Linked DNA regions of Cricetulus griseus. The protein of the gene in region 2 purifies or fractionates together with the protein of the main gene of each other region. This does not show direct contact. Links are inferred from orthologs where the notes say so. Each region holds a gene or a part of one and is shown on either strand. Other genes may lie near its edges.

Region 1 (3,566 bases), on a different chromosome or scaffold from region 2:
CACTGACAAATAAATGCATGTTTCTGTATGTGTCTCCTTGTAAACATTAAGCTTGATAAGGGTACTAATTGTGGTCTCCCAAGTACAGGTGGTAGGAGCAGTAGACGGGAATGTTCTATAGGAGAATGAGATTCAGGGATGGCCAGAGCATTTTCTAGACCTCCCAGAGACTTGCAAATAGCTGAGGTACACTCACTCAACCTCCATTTCCATCCACCCACCTAGCCTGGAATAGCCCCCCAAATTCCTATAGCCTCAGGCCTTGGAAGGATGGAGTCCATAGGAGTGATCTGGAAGGGTGCTCAAGGGCCTCAGCTTAGCCTGGGAGCTTTCTAAGCTGCTGAGAAGTCTGGGGTGGCTATACTTTTGGAAGCATTTGAACCTCCCTCCTGTGGGTAGGGTGGGCATGGGTCTCTGGTACAATGCATGACCTCCCTTGGGCAGGCTGTGGAGGAAAGACTGAGACCCAAGCTTCTGGCAGAGTAACAAGAAGACAAAAGGGGCTGTAATCTATGGAAGAGGCTATGCAGAAGCACCATCCCTCTAGGGTTGAGGCCTGAGAGGTTACAGACCCCACAATGCCCAACTCAGCCTCCCCTTGGAGTGCCTCAATGTAAGCCGCAGCATTACTGGTACCACCACAACTACCTGTTCCTCCCTGTCTAGCCTTCCTGAGGAAGGGACTGCTTCTCCTCTAAGGCCACCAAAGATAAGATTTCACTGAGGTAGTAGGTAGCAGCCACAACAGATATACTGGTTGAGGGGTTGTGCATACTGTCTGTGAGCTGGGGCAGTGTGAAGGCAAAGGTGGAAGCTTTCCAGGTCCCTGGCACCTGCTTTTCAGGCTGGGAAAAAGCTCTCTGTGCTGTGCTGTGTGTGTGTGTGTGTGTGTGTGTGTGTGTGTGTGTGTGTGTGTACACCTGTGCCCAGAACCCTATCCTCACTTCCTCCCATGGGGCACATTGGGTCTTAGGCCAGGTGTTCTGTGCTCTGGATGGTATGATTGAGACTAGAAACCGAGCCCACTTGCTTGACAGAGCTTGTCATTGTGGAGCATAGGAAGTCCATTCTGCTGAGCTCACCTCACCATGCTGAGAGCTGGTTTCTGGATGAACCCCAGCCAGGCTAGATGTGGCTAGCTCTATTTTCACACCTTTATAATTGTTTTTTTTTTCTTTCTTGAGTCTGTCAACAATGCTGTGTGGCAGGCAAATAAGGAAACTGAGGCCAGAGGCGTGCCTTGCCTGTGGTCACTGAGTCAGACGTACCAGAGGAGCCAGCTTGGGTATCTCAAACTGGTGAAGGGTTTCTTCCCCAGCCAAAAGTCTGGATCTTAGATGTATCTAGACAGTGGCCACAGGGAGCAGGCTGTTTGTACCCTGTGTGCAGGCTTCCCTGCTTCTCTGTCATCTCCTGTTGGGTAGACTGGAGCCATGACTGAACCACAAATGCCCTGTGGGCTGTGGCAATTCCAGTGGGTGATGTCATGCCCAAAGAGGCCCCACCTCAGAAGCCCTTTCCTCCTAGGCCTGGCACTAGAGCACAGGCCTGTGGCTTCCAGCCAACTGGAGTCAGGGAGGGATTGCATCAGCATGGAGAGAGGCTAAGAGCCAGCCTGGCCGAAGGCCAGTCATGTACTGGGGCTGCGAAAGGACTTACCTTGCCATACCTGGGGAATAAGAGACCCTTGATGAGGTCTCAGCCATTCCCTGCCTGGTTTCCATGTGCTGTGATGACAGGCCACCTTGACCCCATATTTATGGGCATCAAAGCAGTGACCCTGAGCCAGTCCCTAATTAGCCTGAGGAGGAATGTGGGCGTAGGTGCCTGCTCTAAATGGGCAGTAGCACACCCCCCACCCCCAGTGCTGCAGAGAAAAGCAAGTAGCCTGCCAGCAAGAGTCCAGGTGCTGGGCCAGAAGCAGGCTGGGCTTGGGGTCTACAGGGTGTGGCTAAGCCCAGAGGAACTCTCCTGCTCTGGCTGGGCAGCCTCCTTAAGAGCTTTCTGTGTCTCCTCCCACAGGGGGCTTTGCCACCTTCTCCTCCTGCTTCCCAGGCCTCTGTGAGGGAAAACCTGCTACCCTACCATCCATGAGCCTCTCTCAGCCCTGCCTGCCTGTGCCCAGTGTGGGCCTGACCCGTATCCTGCCTCACCTCTACCTGGGCTCTCAGAAAGATGTCTTAAACAAGGTGAGTGCACAGGGTGTCACCGCTGATGGTGTAAAGAGGGGGAACCTGGAATCAGGTCCTAAGGTAGTCTGAAGTGAAGAGCAGGTGATAGATGAGTATGAGGTGGGAGCACAGGAGGAACCAGAGCCCCCAACTCACCGAACCACAGTATGGCCCAGGGAGGAACCCAGCGAGGCTAGGTGGAAAAGCAGGCTCCTGAACTCTTCTGTGGTGGGGCACTGGAAGCCTGCATGCCAAACTGTTTCTGTCACTGGGCCACTGGCCAGCTCTGAAAGAATCCCGTGTTTTAAAAATGGTGAGGAGGGAAAAGGATGAAGGCACCGCCCAGGCAACCATAAAATTCCTGGGAGCCCAGTACAGGCTGTAGGTGTGGCTTGCAGAAGCCATCCTTCCTGTGCCCATCCAGTGGTCTCAAAGGTTGAGATGGAGCCAGGCTTTTCCATATAGCAAGACCCTGAACAAAATCTGAGACTCAGAAGACTTTAGAGGCCTGTTCTGCAGAGGGGATGAGAGAGACAGACTTTCAGCTCTTCCTCTAGGGGGTGTTTTGCTTTTCTCTGCTACCCCATTCTGACCCATCTTCCTATCCCTCTAGGATCTGATGACCCAAAATGGAATAAGCTATGTTCTCAATGCCAGCAACTCCTGCCCTAAACCGGACTTCATCTGTGAAAGCCGTTTCATGCGTATCCCCATCAATGACAACTACTGTGAAAAGCTGCTGCCCTGGCTGGACAAGTCCATTGAGTTTATTGGTGAGGGAAAGGGAGGATGTGTCTGTCTCTATGGTGTGGGGGAGGCTGACTAGAGGAAGACTGGATAGAGGCAGAGGGAGTACCATGTTTGGGGCCATCCAGCTCTGGGAAGTCACCCACACTGTCTGTCAGAGGGAGGGAGGGTAGGAGCCTACCTTGGGTAGAAGGAATAGTGCAATCTCAGCCCTCACCTAGTCCCCCACCATCCACCTGTCCCCAGATAAAGCCAAGCTGTCCAGCTGCCAAGTCATTGTTCACTGTCTGGCTGGCATCTCTCGCTCTGCCACCATCGCCATCGCCTACATCATGAAAACCATGGGCATGTCCTCTGACGACGCATACAGGTACTCTTCCCCTCCCGGGCTCTGGGGACCTGGAACTCCTCAACCAATGGCTAACAGCATTGCCCTCCCTTCCTTTCTCCACCCACTTAAACGGTACAGCCTATTGCCCTGGCAGGGAGGGAAAACTGGAGCCCAACACAAAGCTTGGGTACAGGGGGAAATCGGTCACAAGCCTGTTCTGACAGGAGTTTCTCTTGCTTGCCCAGGTTTGTGAAGGATCGGCGCCCCTCCATCTCGCCCAACTTCAACTTCCTGGGCCAGTTGCTCGAGTATGAGAG
Region 2 (4,304 bases):
CATTTTTAATGTACAAGTACAATGCTAACAAAAAGTTTAAGACTATTAATAGAAAAATGGCTAGCTCTTAATGATAAGTGGTAGAAAATCCAGTTCCTATTGTCAAGGTAGCAGCTTATCCAATATTGAACTTATTTTAGCAAAAGTAAACTTTTTGTTTTGCTTTAATAGGAATGTACCATTACCAGATCATTCCCCTATCCTAACTGATACCATACATCTGGGCAAAGGATAAAAACAAAAGAGGAAGTGGGGGACAAGTACAATCACTTCTGAAGGTTTTACTTTCCTATATTAGAACATACTATAAAACTGTCAGTTACAAAATTAAAGTATGTATACATATGTATACATGGGTGTGTGTATATATATGCAAATATGTATGAATACATATACCTGTGTATATACATACACATATATCTGAGTGTCTGTATGTATATATGTACATATGTATGTATGCTTACATATGTATGTAGGTTTTTGGTGCTAGCAAGGAACCCAAGTACTTCCATATACTATGCAAGCACTATACCACCGAGCCTCCTCTCTAGCCCTAAACAGTTCTTGGATGTAATCGACCTATGGAGATGGATATAATTCATTGAGAATTTCTAAAGAGGTATTTAATGAATATTGATTTGGTCATTGTTATTAAGATTTTAAACAAAAATTAGGTCAGAGTCCTGGTCAGTGATTCAAGTCATCAAGTTCTAACTAAGTGCAATAAAGTTCCAAGAGATCAACAGGTGGTTTAGACCCAGATCTATCCCTAAACCCATGGGACAAAAACAAGTCAATGAGCTAGTCCTCAACTACATCACATATACAGAGACTGTCAGGGCAGATCTTGTGTAATTATATACTATATACTATCTACTTCACTTTTAAACTTCAAAAACAAGTCAATAATGGACCCAGTGGATAAATGAAGCCCATATTTAATATGGATGCTCTGTCTACCTCCCTCCAAGATAATTCATATCCCCCCTTCCTCCATCCTCTTGTCAAATTACTATCTAATTCCAAGTAAGAAAGAGTTTACATATCAAATAAACACTCATTACTTTCTATTACCACCCACGTTACAACCTGAGCCATCCCACTGACTTTAAAACCTTTCTTGTCACAAGGGTTTAAATCTGGTTTGATCATCTTCAGAGTAAATTCAAAATCTCAGCACTCCAAAACTGAAGCTTTTTGAGCATTACTGTGGTACTCGGAGTACTGGATTTTGGAGCATTTCATTTTTCAGGATTACAGATGTCCACCAGTAAATACAAATATTGAAAAGTGTGACAAAAATCTAAACTCAGGTCAGGCGTTGGTGGTGCACACCTTTAATCCCAGCACTCAGGAGGCAAAGGCAGGCAGATCTCTGTGAGCTGGAGGCCAGCCTGGTGTACAGAGTGAGTTTTAGGACAGCCTCCAAAGCCACAGAGAAACCCTCTATCAAAAAATCAAAAAAATAATAATAGTAATAGTAATAATAATAATAATAAGTTAAAATCTAAGCTCAGAAACACTTCTGCTTCCGAGCAGTTCAGATAAAGGACACTCTGCCTGTACTAGTGCTCACTGTCACTTGGAAGTTAACACCCCACTATGTGCTCACAGCTGGCACTCCCTCCATGTAGCACCTTCTTCCCTAGTTTCTTCTCTGAGCACCCAGGTCTCCCCAGTTGCCTACATTAAGGAAAACAGCAGATTTCCCTGATCAGAGTCTCTGCAGTGGAGTATCAGCTGAAGCCCACTGATGATGCCATGCTCAGCATCTTCACAGGAAAACCAAAACTCTCCTCCTGGAATGCCCAGAAGAGGACTTTTATTTTCAATCCTCTTTGCCTACCAGCTGTAAACATTAAATGTTTTATGTAATCACAATTTTTTTAAAGACAAAAAAACCTTGTTTATCACTGGGGAGGGAGGGGGGTCTCATCCAAAAACTACAGTCTAAAAAGTTTGGGAGGTGCTGATAACGGTAGTCTAGAAAACACGTGAGAAACGTTACCTTTGTCTGGCCAGTGATGTCGCAGCAGCTGACTGTCTTACCATGCAAGAGCCTAAGGTTCAGGGTCAGACCAATGGTTCTGACGTCCTGGGCTGGACACATAGTTGAAGAGAGACACCAAAGAAGAGACGGCCAGCCCAACCCCTCACACAGCATCCCTTCCTGGTTAATCCATGGTGTGATAATGACACTGCCTGGCCTCATCCTGCCAATGAATGGCAAGGCACTGCAATGATGGCGCCTGGAAATGAATAGGAGTGATTGGGAATAAAAGGAGGAGGGGGGAGAAGGTGGCCATGATGAAGAAATGAATAAAACGCCAAATTCCAGTTACACCTCACTGAATACCAATTATTCTGATATCATAATGACAGGGCAAATAAAAAAGAAAACAAAGAAAAAGAAACCAATAAATAAATAAAACCAATAACAAAGCAAAAGAAAAATTGAGTTTGTATCCTATAAATGACTGTATATAACTATAGCAAGGATTGATTTAGTTTAGCTCAAAATCTAATCTACAACAGGGGGTATTTTTTCAATCAGTGTTTCTAAACTATGATTTAGTTTTACTTTTCACTAGAGACTTAGTCTATGCTATTAGAACGCCCAGACTTACCAAACAATTCCTTGGGCTCCAGAGCCAATCGGTTTCAATTGCTGGTAACGTTTTAGGACAGTGAAAGTTGAGTCCGCCACTTGCACACTGTAAAACTGACCATCACTTTTACTGTCACTCATGATGTAGTGTCATACAGTATTCTGAAGAGATGCTACCTTCGTCAGATCCCTAAGGAGAGAAACAGAATGAACTGATGAGCTTACCAAATTGTACACTAGGATCTCAGTTCATAGTGGGTCCGATCTGCTGGAATGTAAAGGTATGGCTATGAGATGGGAAAATCAGCTTGGCCAAGATCTCAATTTAAGCAAGGGCACATCCAAAAAAAAACAAAAACAAAAACAAACAAACAAACAAACAAACAAAAAAACCCAGACATTTCAGTGGTGTAAGACCTTCAAAAGAAGAAATTAAAACAAAATTTTTCTAACATTTATTTTATGCATTTGGGTGTTTTGTCTGCACGCATGTATGTGCATGCCTGGAAAGCTGTGAGCCACATGTGGGTGATGGGAATGGAACCTGGGTCCTTTGGGAGAACAGTCAGTGCTCTTAACTGTTGAGTCACTGAAAAGGATTGTTGAGCCCTGAAAAGGAATTTTGAGATGCAGGAAGGCCACATTTTTAAAGGACTGTATTATAATAAATTGTTGGAGCTGGGGATACAGCTCAGTAGTGAGTGCTAGCATGCATAAAGCTGAGTTCACAGGAAAAACAGGTATGAAGGGGTGGAGAAAGATCCACTTCAGCAGAAAACATTTACACATTATTCCCAGCCATGGTAAGCCCACTATGTCACTGATGTGTCTCATCCATTTCCTTCTTGGGGAACCAGCTTATGTGTAGAAATCTCAGCTAGAGATGGAGCATTATTTCAGAATGATTGATTCTAGAGGTCCTGGAGACAGCAAGAACTGGGCATCTAGGTGTATGGATCCAGGCTAATATGATGAACCACAAAGTGAGACTCCTGTGCCAGTATAACAGGCTGTCTTGAGGATTAGAGACACTGGTATGAAGTGTGTGTCCCACAGATGAACCTGTTTCACGAAGGTGGAGCCAGAGTTGGCCTTCATTCCCTGTACCCCAAGCTCAGCTACAGTTCACAGTAAAATAATTATCTCCACTCTACTTATATTCACAAATATGGCTATAAACCAGTGGCTTCAGAAAGTAGTTTTCTTCTGGTTTGGACAGCAGGCTGATTCCCCCAATGGGCTTGGTCCTCAGAAGTGGGTGCTGTTTGGGAAGATGAAGAACCTTTAGGAGGTGTGACTTGGCTGGACAAAGTGGGTTGCTGGAGGACAACTTGAGGGTAACAGTTTCACTGCTTCCAGCACCAACGGCTCCCTGGTCTGTGGAGACTGAGGAACCCCAGCAGCAGGCTCATACCACTGTGTACTCCATCAGGGTGGGCTGTACCCTTGTAAGGCATGAGCCAAAATAAATCCTTTCTTCCCTAAGCTGCTGTGTCATGCATTCCATCACAGTGACTAAAAAAGGGAGAAATGTGACTGATATGCTCACCCTGTGAAAGGTAGGAAGAAGTTAACTGAAAAATTAATGAGTTATTATTTTGGTCTTTAAGATGCCAGCAACAATGGGAGGGAGAGGGAACTGGGATTGATATGTAAAATAAGATTGTTTTTAATTTAAATTAAAAAAGAAAAAAGA

Evidence for each region. Proteins that work in one complex are often made in the same cells at the same time.
Region 1: the proteins of Mapk9 (region 2) and Dusp8 purify together in Homo sapiens (affinity purification with mass spectrometry; 4 studies listed by BioGRID and IntAct, with this or other methods). This does not show direct contact. The link is inferred for Cricetulus griseus from reciprocal best matches to the Homo sapiens genes MAPK9 and DUSP8.

Annotation. Positions count from the first base shown.
Region 1 is NC_048596.1:59,099,953-59,103,518, forward strand, and holds part of Dusp8 (dual specificity protein phosphatase 8), read left to right. Parts: intron 1-2,022; coding exon 2,023-2,189; intron 2,190-2,784; coding exon 2,785-2,944; intron 2,945-3,164; coding exon 3,165-3,288; intron 3,289-3,494; coding exon 3,495-3,566. UniProt on the Homo sapiens protein: Has phosphatase activity with synthetic phosphatase substrates and negatively regulates mitogen-activated protein kinase activity, presumably by catalysing their dephosphorylation.
Region 2 is NC_048600.1:64,316,908-64,321,211, reverse strand, and holds the start of Mapk9 (mitogen-activated protein kinase 9), read right to left. Parts: upstream 2,817-4,304; 5' UTR 2,750-2,816; coding exon 2,628-2,749; intron 2,250-2,627; exon of another isoform or gene 2,053-2,249; coding exon of another isoform or gene 2,009-2,052; intron 1-2,008. UniProt on the Homo sapiens protein: Serine/threonine-protein kinase involved in various processes such as cell proliferation, differentiation, migration, transformation and programmed cell death.